Arabidopsis thaliana: one gene and its partner. The protein of the gene in region 1 interacts with the protein of each later gene in a pairwise test. Each region holds a gene or a part of one and is shown on either strand. Other genes may lie near its edges.

Evidence for each region. Proteins that work in one complex are often made in the same cells at the same time.
Region 2: the proteins of AT2G22510 (region 1) and AT1G01240 interact in a two-hybrid assay, tested with the Arabidopsis thaliana proteins (one large-scale study listed by BioGRID).

What each region holds. Positions count from the first base shown.
Region 1 is NC_003071.7:9,566,340-9,573,462, reverse strand, and holds AT2G22510 (hydroxyproline-rich glycoprotein family protein), read left to right. Parts: upstream 1-3,678; 5' UTR 3,679-3,761; coding exon 3,762-4,136; 3' UTR 4,137-4,440; downstream 4,441-7,123. Other genes in the region: AT2G22530 (Alkaline-phosphatase-like family protein), read left to right, coding at 1-222, 363-492; AT2G22520 (uncharacterized protein), read right to left, coding at 840-1,397.
Region 2 is NC_003070.9:95,794-102,487, forward strand, and holds AT1G01240 (uncharacterized protein), read left to right. Parts: upstream 1-4,072; 5' UTR 4,073-4,889; coding exon 4,890-5,885; 3' UTR 5,886-6,194; downstream 6,195-6,694. Other genes in the region: AT1G01225 (NC domain-containing protein-like protein), read left to right, coding at 271-364, 761-1,449; AT1G01230 (ORMDL family protein), read left to right, coding at 1,827-2,012, 2,664-2,812, 3,115-3,253.

The sequences.
Region 1 (7,123 bases):
CCTTCTATCCCTCGTCATGTACATTGGTGCAAATCTTAGAAACCACTCAAACTCAACAATATCAACTCACCGGGAAACGAGTCTTGGACAAATTTTGAAGCTAAAGCTCGGGTTCCCTTGCCTTGTTCCGCTCTGCATCAACTCAATACTCTTGACCGCATATACTGTGGTCTTACTACTCATGAGAAATCACCTCTTTGTATGGAGCGTCTTCTCTCCCAAGTGAGTCTTTGATCCTGTCTGCTTTATTCGGTTTTTCAATCTGATTTTTCTGGTTTAGTTCGATTTGGATCAGTTTGGTTTTCGCTAAAAAAAAAAGAAAAGATTGTTGCTGATTGTGTTTGGTGTACAAATGGGAACAGGTACCTATATGTGTGTGCAACCACTCTGTGCACATACATCGGAGTTTGTATCGTCGCAGCTACTGTAACCTACACTTTCTATGTCACTACCTTCCTTAGAAGCAATCGCACAAGACACAACAACTCGTAGTTATGGTCTTTTTTATTATATAGGAGGGAGATAGAGACTAATAGAGATACTGTGATTCTGAAATTTAAAGTAGAAGATCATGGGATCCAGTTATTTAATTTCACGAGTCTGCTTAAAACAGTACTTTTTTTTAACTGTATATATCTACTTTTTAGTTAACAATTTATTATCTTGAATTTACAGTTATGAATTCAACACTGAACTACACTAACGTAGAACAATAAATTACCACACAAAAAAACATAATATGTAATTGCTTTACAAAACCAAACAAAAACTCTGCAAAACAATTGGTCTTCTTCTTTACTTCATTCTAGTTGTCGATAGTTTAGAAGACTCATTGGTCCTCACTCTCTATAACAAAATATTGGAATCGGTACGTGTCTTGGTGACGGAGCAGCATCCATTGTGACTGAACCACTAAACAGTTCTCGCTCTTGAATCTGCAGTGTCTTGATTGTGCTCGTAGCTTTAGCCGACTTCTCCTGAACCTTCGCTTTAGATTGCGATAGTTTCGAAGGTTTCAATAACGTTTCCTGAACATCAGCTTTAGACTGTGATGGTTTCGAAGATTTCAATAACGTCTCCTGAACATCAGCTTTAGATTGTGATGGTTTCGAAGGTTTCAATAACGTCTCCTGAACATCAGCTTTAGACTGTGATGGTTTCGAAGGTTTCAATAACGTTTCCTGAACATCAGCTTTAATTTGCGATGGTTTCGAAGGTTTAAAAGGAAACTTTTGTGGGTAACAAAAACGTTTCAAGACAAAGAGATGAACCTTTTGATGAACATGTAAAACAGAGTTACGAGAGAAGAAGTAAAAGCCAATTCCGTGTTTTGTAAGAAACGGAACGGCATGAACCTCTCTGACGAGGTAACGGTGTGTTAACATAATAATCGACATCTTCAAGAGAGATTTGATGATTGGTCGGAAAATGGTAGACTTATCTATTCTTCTACGAGTTACTGAGAGCTTGATCAAGTAATAATTGTGACTAATGAGAGGGTTCAAGGTTATTTATAGAAGTTGGGTTCTTTACTCGTAGAAAATAAAAGAAAATTGATACAAACAAAAGGAAACATGAGTCTGTCCGTTTGTGATATGTTTCCTTTTTATGATTTAGGACTGTCGGTCTCACTTATTTTGTTTTCCTTAATCTGTTTTACCTTAATCATGTTTTCCTTTACTAAGTTTGAAATTTTTTCAATTAAACTTGATTATTACAAGAAGTTTCTAACTAGTTTAAAGGACAAGTTAGGGTTTCTCGAGAGTAATTGAATTTAGGGTTCTTGAGAGTCAAAGTTAACAACCCTTTTTGTTTGTTGGGAGATCACCCTATTTATACCGTCGGGTCCTCGTCAAAAGTAATTCAGGTTTGAATTCATACCAAAAAAAGAAAATTTAGGTTTGAATGTTTTTTTTCATCAAACATTGTAAAATTATGAAAAAAGTATCAGATTAAAAAACAATTGGAAATAAGAAAACTCTTTACTTCTTGTTAGTCAAGTACTGTGAAGATTAGTGGATACAGATTATTTGCTAAAAACAAAGATAAATAGACAATAATTGCTCCACAAAACAAAATCTAATTGAGTAATTGGTCTTCTTCTTCTCATTCAAGTCGTGCTTAGCTTTGAAGACTCTTTGATCATCTTTACACCACAAAATATCGGAATCGGTACATGTCTTGGCGAAGGAGCAGCACACATTGTGACGGAACCATCAAAAAATTCTACTTCTTCACTCGGTGTTTGAATCGGTTTCTCATGAACCGTATCCGGTTTAGATTGAGATTTTCCGGTTTTAGACGGTTTAAAATAAGCTTTTTGTGGGTAAGAAGGTCGTTTCTTCAAGCCGGAGCGAGGAACCACTTTTTGACGTACATGTAAAAAGGAGTTACGACAAAAGTAATGGTAACCAAATCCTTGTTTTGTAAGAAACGGAACGGCAAAAAAGTCTTGGACGAAGTAACGGTGTACTAACATTATCGACAACTTCAAAGAGAGATTTGTGTTCTTCGATGGGTTCTTGTTCGTCTATTGCTTTCTTAGGAACGAGAGCTTAATCAATTGATAGTAAGAAATAATGAGAGGGTTAAAGGTTATTTATAGTCATTGAGTTCTTTACTAATTGGAATCCAAATCAAAAAAAAAAAAAAAAGAAGGAATTTTACTCCATTACAAATTAGGAAACATGTTTATGTAAGTTTGTGTTGTTTCTTTTTTTCTATGACTTACCGATATCTGCGTTATTGTTATTTCCTTAATCTATATTTATTAATTTTCAAAATATTATCGCTTAACAAAAAATATTAAAAGATTCTCGTCTTCTTCTCATTTCAAGTCTTCGTTAGCTACTTAGCTTCGTAGACTCTTTAATCTATTTTTTAAAAAAACAAACAATGTCGAGAGAAATATGAAATATGTATAATGTATTCCTTGTTTGTTAAAAAAAACACACACTCTTTAATCATCTATCTGACGCAAAAATTAGAAATATGTATTCTTTATTAATTTCAAAAAAAAATTAACATGTTATTCTTGTTAAAAAAAAAATTAAAAAGGAGATATGTGTTGCTTCCGGACCTTCCGCCATGCAATATCACTATTTTAACATATATATACTGTCGCAACAAATAAAAGCTCATAAACCATAATTAATTAAATCTATTTGTTGGTTGACCAAACAAAATATTAGTTGTAAAAAAGTAAATATTTCCAATTAAACTGATATTATTTGCTTTTCACCTATTCTCATCAGATATTGTCGCTTGTATTTTTTAAAATTAAACCAAAAACAAACCGAATTGTTTTCGCTATACATAGTCACTCATCGAAGTTCAAACAAAGGCCAAACCAAAAGGCAAAACCATCGGATTATAAATTTATTTATTGATATACTAATTTTCTAAATTTGTTTATCAAATTATTTTTCTCACTTTTTTGTAGTTCTTTTATTTGTGAAAATTTATTTTATTTTATAATATTTAAATAAAATATAATACATATACATTAAACTAGGTTAGCTGAAATCTCCATGTGTCATGGTTGTTTCTAGTTAGAACTTAGAAGTGACCAATCTTACTTGTGGTTGTGGAACAAGTAACTCTAAATAAGTTGCAACAACAAAACTTCTTCAAACCTACTTCTCATCAAACCTCAAAACCCTAACTCCTCTATAAATACACACAAACTCCTTCATAATCTCTCCATCATCACTCACAATCAAACCTCTTTCCAGTGACAACTCAAACCCCTAATCCCCAAAATGGCTCACTGGTTGTCATCCCTAGTCATTGCATTAACATTCACAAGCTTTTTCACTGGTCTCTCAGCTAGTCGCCACCTTCTTCAATCAACACCAGCTATTACCCCACCGGTTACAACAACATTTCCACCACTTCCCACAACCACAATGCCACCATTTCCTCCTTCAACTTCTCTTCCTCAGCCAACTGCGTTTCCGCCATTACCAAGCTCACAAATACCTTCTTTACCTAACCCAGCACAACCCATTAATATCCCAAACTTCCCACAAATCAATATCCCTAACTTCCCAATTTCTATCCCAAACAACTTCCCATTCAATCTTCCCACCAGCATTCCAACAATCCCATTCTTCACTCCACCACCTTCCAAATGAGAAGCTAATTAAGCTCTATAGCTAGCTACTGCCACACAACACATGACCACGATACCATCTATCTATTGTTTGCATATTATGTGTTGTAAACTTGTAATGTTTTTTATTCTTTTTTTTGTCTAAGTTTGTTATTCTTTTACTGTCGTTTGATGTTATCCTTGTTGTTGATGTTGTTTTCTTTTAATCAGTTGTTTTTGTAATATATACAGCTTATTCTTATTCTAGTGATTACAAACTTTCTTGTTCCTCTTAATCTCTGTAAACCAAACAATATAAATTATATACGAATTATCATTCCCTGAAATGTTTGCATAGACAACTCAAATTACATGAGACATTCTGAAAAAATTATTAATCAACGTTTAATTCAATAATAACTTTGTCTTTTTATCGTTTAATCAATTACCTGAGCAAATCACGGACACCACCAACAATTTTAGAAGAAACCTTACCGATGATCAGATGAATGATACGACTTGTCCCTGGCGATGAAGCCCAGGCCCATAACTAGGCCCAATATATATGATCACATATGGTCCAAGATAACTTATCGTTATGTGCAGTAATTTACTGAAAACCAAAGACCATATTTTTATGTAATGTCCGTATAGCTAGGACTTTTAGAGATTGTGTCTGGCTAGAATAATTGCCCATTTCATAATTCTGAGAATTGAAAGAAATTTGGTATGCTAAGTTTTCCAATGTAAATCATTCAATGACAGTAGAGAGAGCTTCTGTCTTTCGTCAAAGGGAAAGCCATCAAAAAAGTCAAGAGTCAACAACTTCTAGGCCACTCCGACATCTTAGGTGACACGTGTGAGTTTGGTAAGAAGATTTAAAACGGCTTTTACTTGGCGGGAGAGGTACAACTACAAAGTCATTAGTCAACTCTTTTAGACCCTTTTTGGCCCAAACGTCCTCTTCGGGCCACACGGAGTTTATTAAATCGTGGTTTAATTGCTTAATTAATTTATATTTTATTTTATTTTTCCTTCTTTATTTGTTGCGTAATTAATTGTTTTCTTCAAATAAATAAAGTCAATGGTGGTATAACTCATTTCTTGCCGGTACAAGACCGAATGAAAAACATAATTTACATCACAAATGATAATTTTGCGATATTTTTTTATATAATGAAGTGAACCCATTTTGTTACGAACGTATAGTCAAATAACAAGAACTAAGTAGCCTATAAATATTTTTTCTTTTATAGTTAAGAAATTTGGAGGTCATGTGGATTATAAATTCTTCAAACCAAATTGGAAAACTAATTAGATCAAGCTTTAAAAAAAAAAAAAAAATGACTCGGATTTTTTTATAGTAATAGCAGTTCCCAGTTGGAACATGACTCGGATTAAAAAAAAGTGTATAATTGTAATCTTGCACACCAATCTGTCCACAACAGTTGGAAAGTTTAAAAAATATTAAACAAGTTAAGAGTACGTTTGGAAGGTCACCGTGATTATTATAATTAGATTAGTGTTTTATAATGTCTCATTGTAGTTTGACAAAGCCTGTTAGAGTATTATACTAGCCAAAAAACAGAACACGAGAAAAATAAAATAACACACATAGCTGTATTTCTTTCTTATTTGTTTAATATAGTGAATGTCAAAATACTTTTCTGAAGTACTAACAGATAAGAACTCAGTACGTAGCCTATTCTTGTAGTTTAGAAATTGGAGGTCATGTCTCATGTGTATAGTAATTTTCTTCAAACCAATGTTTTTTTATCGAAAATTAGATCATGTTAAAACCTTTTTTTGTTTTTGTCATAGTTCCCATTTGGAACTTATTAAAGAAAAACCAAATAATTATCCCCGTTGGATCTAGCTATATTAGTAATCTTGCGCTTATCTTTCCAACAACAATTGAATTTTTAAAAATATTAGATAACTTACCGTGATAAATTCCAAAACAAAAGTCAGTCACCGTGATAAATATAATCCGATTAGTCCATGTAATGTCTAATTGTATTATATCATTTGATAATGCCTGTTGGAGTATTAGAGTAGATAAAATAACATACATAGCTGGAATTTTTTCTTAATGTTGATCTCTTTAATATAATATAGTGTAAAAGTTAGTTATTTAGTAGTCAAATGTTAAATTAAATAGTTCACGATGGAAAACTGGAAGAAGACGTCAAAATATACTATTGACTTTTTTGTGCGAAAATATACTATTGACTAAGAAAACTAAAAAGTGGTATGAAAGACAAGTCAGAGCATTATTATTGCTTGTCTCTTAAATTAGTTCTTAGGTTAAGAACATCTCATTCTATCTCTTATATAAGAGATAGAATGAGATGTTTTTAGTAATCAATTACAAAAAAAAATCTTAAGAACTAATATAAGAGACAACCAATAATGATGCTCTCAGAAGCCTATTTATATTTTCAATTAGAATGTCCGGTTTAAGAGTTAAGACCCTTGCACGCGTGGCCTGAGCACGCCAACATTGCACAAGCATACGAGTTTACTATATGAAAAGAAAAGTCAATTATGTAGTAAGTGAAAATAAAATCTCATAGAAACGATTTGTCTTCTTTAACAACAAAATTAATAAAACCGATTTGTCTTGTGAAAAATTAAAAGAGATGTTTCTAGGCTTCTAGCAGAGACGTGGTAAACACTAGGGTTTTAGATAACACTGTAGGAAAATTAATTGGGTTTTGGTTAATGGTTACACAGCTAATTCACCCTTATTTTTTCTAAGAGGAAGAAAGAGTAAAAAATTAGTAAATTTGAGAAACGTTAGCATCGTAACACCAAATGACTCGACTACTCTCGTGCTTCACCGCATAGTATTTAATTATCTTATTTGTATCAACACAATGCATGAGTTCTGTATATATGAGTAATAAACAAACGTGGAATATACTTTCATGAGATGCAAAGTGGCAGAGGCATCAATGTAGGTAGGTAAGTTCTCTGAGGCTGCAAGAAGAATCTCTGTTTTTTATTTTAAGCAGAGCTTTATATATA
Region 2 (6,694 bases), on another chromosome or scaffold:
AGGTCAAAAGGCCCCGGAAAATCAGTACGTTGGTAGCATTTGGATTTGGAGATAACGCCGTTAAAAGACTCTGTAACGGGTTTGCTCAACAGCTCTCTCTAGTTCGTTTATCGAATTAGATAATGCCACTCCAAAAAACGTTACTTTACCTTACCTATCTCGCTGACGTCAGATCCCACCGTTAGAGCTTACACTTGTAACGCCGTTTCCTGCATTTTCCACAAGCAAGGTAAAAAAAAGCTTTGTGCAGAGAGAGAGAGAAGAAGAAAAATGGGTTTGCTTACGAACAAGATTGAGAGAGAAGAGCTAAAGCCAGGAGATCACATCTATACTTACAGAGCAATCTTCGCTTATTCTCACCACGGTAACTTTAGATTCATTCTTCCCAAGTTTGCTCCTTTCTTTCTCGTTCATTCAATCATAACATCAAAAAGTGAAATTATCCTCAATGCAAGTCTTTTCTTTTAGTTTCTACTGGTCGGTTTAATCTTCTTATTGAAACTGTAAATTCACAAAGTTGACGACTTTATCTAGATAGATCTTGAAGACAATGGTCTATATTCCAATCTTTGCATGACCTAATTTCACCCTGGCTCTGTATTTTGATGTTATTCCATCATATCTTCTGATCTCTGATGGACTTTATAGATGATTTTTGTTTATTTGACATATTTTTATCCCAATTTCCTCTGGTGATGAAGAATTGATACTGTTGTAGACATTCCTTCATGGGCTTTGATTTGATTGTGGATTTTTGCAGGAATCTTTGTCGGTGGGTCCAAAGTTGTTCATTTCAGACCTGAACACAACCCCATGGATTCATCAACATCATCAATATCATCATCTTCCTCTGAAGATATCTGTTCCATATTTCCTGATTGCGGTTTCAGACAACCGGACAGTGGAGTAGTCCTTTCTTGCTTAGACTGTTTCCTCAAGAACGGCTCACTCTACTGCTTCGAATATGGAGTCAGTCCATCGGTTTTCCTAACCAAAGTCCGCGGAGGGACTTGCACAACCGCGCAATCTGATACAACTGATTCAGTCATCCACAGGGCAATGTACCTTCTCCAAAACGGATTTGGCAACTACGACATTTTCAAGAACAACTGTGAGGATTTCGCGCTCTATTGCAAGACCGGTTTGCTTATAATGGATAAGCTCGGTGTAGGGAGAAGCGGTCAAGCTTCTTCAATTGTTGGTGCTCCTTTGGCTGCACTCCTCTCTTCTCCTTTCAAATTGCTTATTCCAAGTCCCATTGGTGTGGCAACAGTTACTGCTGGTATGTACTGTATGAGTCGCTATGCTACCGATATTGGTGTTAGAAGCGACGTCATTAAGGTCTCAGTTGAGGATTTGGCTCTCAACCTTGACGTAAAGACCATTGAGCAAGGTGAAGAAGAAGAAGAAGACGAAGAAGAAGATTCTGATACCGACTATGTTAGGTGACAAACAGATACCTATCACCTTTGTTCACGAATTTCGATATACATAAGAAAACATTTCAGTTAGAATCCTCATGTTGGTTTTATGTTCCCTTTATTGCATTTGTTGGCCTATTTTCTGTCTGTACAAAATGAAAACGCAGACGTTTTGGTTTGGGTAATGTCAAAAATATCCCAATAATTAATTAATGCCCAGTGTAGATGCAAAAAAGCAGTCGTCGTCTTTCACGGGCACACAAAATTAAACCAAAGAAACAAACAATCCTTGTTCTCGCCGAAATAGAGAATTTTGTGAATCTGGGTTTTTAGTTCAGGTGTTAATATAAGATTTTGATCAAAAGAAGACGAGATTCGATCCGATCCGATCTGATTGAAGAAGAAATGGCGAATCTGTATGTGAAAGCGGTTCCACCACCGGATATGAATAGGAATACGGAATGGTTCATGTATCCAGGAGTTTGGACGACTTACATGCTTATTCTCTTCTTCGGTTGGCTCGTTGTTCTCTCTGTCTCTGGTTGTTCCCCTGGAATGGCTTGGACTGTTGTTAATCTCGCTCACTTCGTTGTAAGTCTTCGATTGTGTTTATGCTTTAGAGATGATTTTTTCACTTAGGGTTGTGACTTTAAATTAGATGATGGATTGATTCCTTGTTTTTTTTTTATTTCCTGAGATCTGGATGTGAATCTGGCTCTAGTGTTTGAATTGATCTCTTTGGTTATTAGCAATTTTTTAGTTGGTTTAGGGTTCGAATGAAGAGGCAATTACCTTCTGATTGATCAGTTTTAGCTATCGTATATCGTTGAGCTTGGATCAGGCTTCGAATTAGGATACAGTTACCTTCTTATCAATGAATTGATCAGTTTTGGTATCAGCGATTTTGAATTGATCTGTTTGGATACTATCAGCAGTGTTGACTGTTGAGTTGATCAGGCTTTTAAGTAAGATGCAATTCTCTTCTAAGTTTGAATTGATCGGTTTTGGATCAGGCTTCGAATTAAGATGCACCTTCTCGTTAATGAATTATCAGTTTTTGATATCAGAAACTAAAACTACCTATGGCATCAATGCAATTTCTTAAGGTCTAACTGTTTGATATAATGCGGTGACTTGTAAATTGGCATTGCTTGATTGTCAAAACCAAATTTAATCTAATTTCTAATTACTCTTTAGGAAAATGTGATGTCTGAGTAGAAATTTGTGGATATTTGTTGTCAGGTAACGTATCACAGCTTCCACTGGATGAAAGGAACTCCTTTTGCAGATGACCAAGGAATCTACAATGGTTTAACTTGGTGGGAACAAATGGACAATGGTCAACAGCTTACCCGCAACCGCAAATTTCTTACCCTAGTTCCTGTTGTTCTGTAAGTCCCAGCACCTTGTTCCTCAAAATCTCACCACTCTTGTCTATTTCCAATCTATATTTTCTTAGCAAATTATTTTCTTTAGCTGCATATATCCTTGTGTCTCATATGGTTAATAAATATGCTAATTTCTCAATACACATATCTAAATCCGGTGATGTGTAACGGACTAGTTCTAGAGAACTCTGTATACGCGATAATGTGTATAAACAAGAGCTGCATTTATCTGGATGAACTTTTAAGATTGAGCTCTTTAGCTTTTGTACTTGTTTTCTGACTTTATAACGACACATTTAAAACAGGTACTTGATTGCATCGCATACAACAGATTACAGACATCCATGGCTGTTCCTCAACACACTCGCTGTGATGGTTCTCGTTGTTGCCAAGTTCCCCAACATGCACAAGGTACGCATCTTTGGTATCAATGGTGATAAATAAGTTTCCTTTACGGCAAGAGAACACCTGAAAGAAGGAAAAGGGGATATAAGCGAACATATATATGTGTAAATGTTCATATGAGTTGGTTTAATTCTCGAGTCATGTTTTTTGTTGGATATTTGTAAGTAAACTCTCTAATTTTGAAGCTTTCATCTTTTACCTTTTATAATAGACACGAAAAAGCTTTCCCTTCATCTCCCCACTTCACTTCAGATAATGGGCCTAATAGCAATATGGGCTTGAACAATAATTGAATTTAACAATGGCCCAAAGATTCCTGTCGTGGTGACTCATGAGTTATCATAACACCAGAATGTTTTCGATTGAGCGTAATGATTCAGTGGGATCTAAAGAACACGTGGCTGCCTACAAGATCTCTAACAGCTGGTTAATGACACGTGTCATAGTTAAAGTCCACCTGGATGGATATTATATCATGGTGTACGTATACAAAATAGTTAATCCCTCTTCAAAATTGAATAAAGCTAACAAAAGTAATCAATTAACGTGATTAAAAAAAAAAAGAGAATGCTAATTGGACCCCGAAAACATGATATATCCTGCAAAATTAAAGCCGACAAAACGAAAGAATGACTAATTAAAGTTGGAATAAGACTAATGATTTTTTTTTTTTTTTTTCTTATTGTGGTCCAATGTAAGAAAATAAATAAAAACATCTTATCCATTAAATCGAAAGTAGGGTCCATATCGTAATAGCCGTCGATTCTCTCTTTAGCCAACACGTGTTGTCAATCCAGCTGTTTCAGATGCTTACCAAGCCAAACAAGTTATTGAAACTGTGTCGTTTTGTGTCCCTAACTCGGAAGCTTTTACGGAAGAAACTGTAAATTTGGTTCCATGGGGCCAGAGAGTGTGAGAAACGAAAATTAAAAAAAAAGAGAAGAAAAGCCAAAAGCTTCGGTCGCGCAAGATCGCTTCATTTGTTTCTAGAGTGATTCATGGATTCTTTAAACTACTAATAATGGTATCTTTAGTTGTTACTTCGTTTTCTGATCTATTTTACAAATCTTACTCTTTTGCTCTGTTTTCGTGGTTTTGTTTAGATAAAAGTCTCTGTTCTTCTAGTTTCTTCCATCAGACTGTTTTCTCATGGATCAGTGATGATTTTTGTTTCCTGGGTCAACTTCTGATTTTGGAATTTCTGAAAATTTTGGTAAATTTACTCGATCCCATTGCGAAATCTTACGCATGATCTTTGTAGTTTGCTCTGCTCAAGACTTTCTTTTTTTTTGGTTCTGCAGTATGTCTTAATTGCTCTGAAACTTATGTCTTGTTGTGTTTAATTTGGTGGTGAAATATATTGTCTTCTTTATTCCTGGATCTGTTAAGATTGTTTAAGATTTCATATACGTTGAATTGGTTTTGATTGAATATATTTTGGTTCCCAGACGTTGCGTGTATTATTTAATGTAAATTCCTTAAATCATTGGCTTATCTATGAATCAATCATTTGCTTAGAAGCAATCTCATGAGTAGCAAGAAAAACGAATTAATCCTTCCCATGTCTTTTATGTTTATATTACAGGATCTGGGTGAAAAAAGAACAGTCTTTTGATTTGGTGTGTTTCTCTTTTCTCTTAATTTTTTAGGATTTTTGTTGTGTCTTAATGAAATAATGGGAGCAGCTGAAGCAAGAGCATTGTGGCAAAGAACAGCTAGTCGTTGCTTTGTTGTTCATGAGGATGCTAAGATGGCTCCGAGGTTAGCTTGTTGCCAACACCAACAATCTTCTTCGGGCAACACCGAAAAAAACAGCTTTTCTTCCGGAAGTTTTGGAGATTCCTCTGATTTCTCTTGTGATACCAAATGGTGGCTTAAGGGATCAACTGGTTTTGATGAGGAGGTTACAAACTCCTTTCTTGAAGATACCAAATGCAAGAAATTGCATGAATTTGTCGACTTAATCGGAATACGAGAAGAAGAAGACTACAGCTTTATTAGCAAGAAAGCTGACGCTACAACACCGTGGTGGAGAAGCACGACGGATAAAGATGAATTAGCTCTCATGGTGGCGACTAAATCGGTTGATCATAATATCCAGAATTGTGATCTTCCTCCACCTCAAAAACTCCACAAGAGTATTCACTCCTCGAGTGGAGAAAAAGGGTTTAAAACAGCGGTTAAATCGCCATGGAAGCAAGGAGTTTGGAAGGATCGGTTTGAGAGATCTTTGAGTTACAATGGTAGCACAGAGAGCAAGAACACGAGTCCAATGTCTTCCCCTAGAAGTGATGATCTAAGCAAAGGTCAGCTTTTAGAAGCACTAAGGCATTCTCAAACCAGGGCAAGAGAAGCAGAGAGAGCAGCGAGAGAAGCTTGCGCTGAGAAAGACCGTGTGATAACAATCTTGTTGAAACAAGCGAGTCAGATGTTGGCTTATAAGCAATGGTTAAAGCTTCTTGAAATGGAAGCTCTTTATCTGCAGATGAAGAAGGAAGAAGAACAAGAGGAACAGGTCAAAGGAATGAATCTGAAGAAGAGAAAACAGAGAGGGGAGAAGAAGAAAAAGGGTGAGACTGGGAGATATATGATGGCTTTTGCATTAGGGTTTAGTCTCATTGGTGCTGGTTTGCTCTTAGGTTGGACTGTTGGATGGTTGCTTCCCTTCTAGAATCTTGAAATGTCTTCTCTTTGGTCACTCATCTTTTCAAGAGTTTTAGGTTTTATAACTTTTCACTTTACCTCTAAAATTGTGTGTATATTTTGTTAATGTATGTATTGTGTGATGTTTGTGTAAATTTAATCTTCTGTAGAAGTTTATTTGGTTAGGGTCTCTCTCTCTCTCTCTCTCTCTGCTACACAAAATTGAGAAGCATCAAACTTGGAAATTCATCAGAAGCTTGAGAATGTTGGAATCAAATAAATCTTATATTTGAGCTGAAAGTTTGCTACAAGTGGACCTCATTTGACCCAATTTTCTAATTAAGGCCCATATGTTTTTCAGACCCAAACTTTTTTATTTTATAATTTCTTTTTAGGGGTTCCAAAAAAATAATAGTATTTGCGTTTTGAACTTCTAAATTCTAAGCATGGTGGAATAAGATTTAATGATTATGGTCTTAGTTGCTTTAAAATTTATCACGGATGTTTAAAATTAAAAGTGTGATCACTTGAATAGTTTGTGTTTATGCATGCTTCTGTGAAATATATACAAAACTTTTTGACTAAATCCCAAAATTCAAATCTGTATAACGAATTCCTTTGATAAATGTGACTTTAAAAGATAATTCCAAAACATTGAAAACATATGTGTTTTAACTTCTTCTTTTTTTCTTTCAAATATCATACAATAGGCAAGTCTGGATGATGAGACGTCAATTACTAGCACCGACGACTAAAATACATGTTTTCATCATCAAATGTCTTTAAAATTCATATCTCTTTTGTTTGTTTGTTCATATCTAAGATAGCAATTAATAT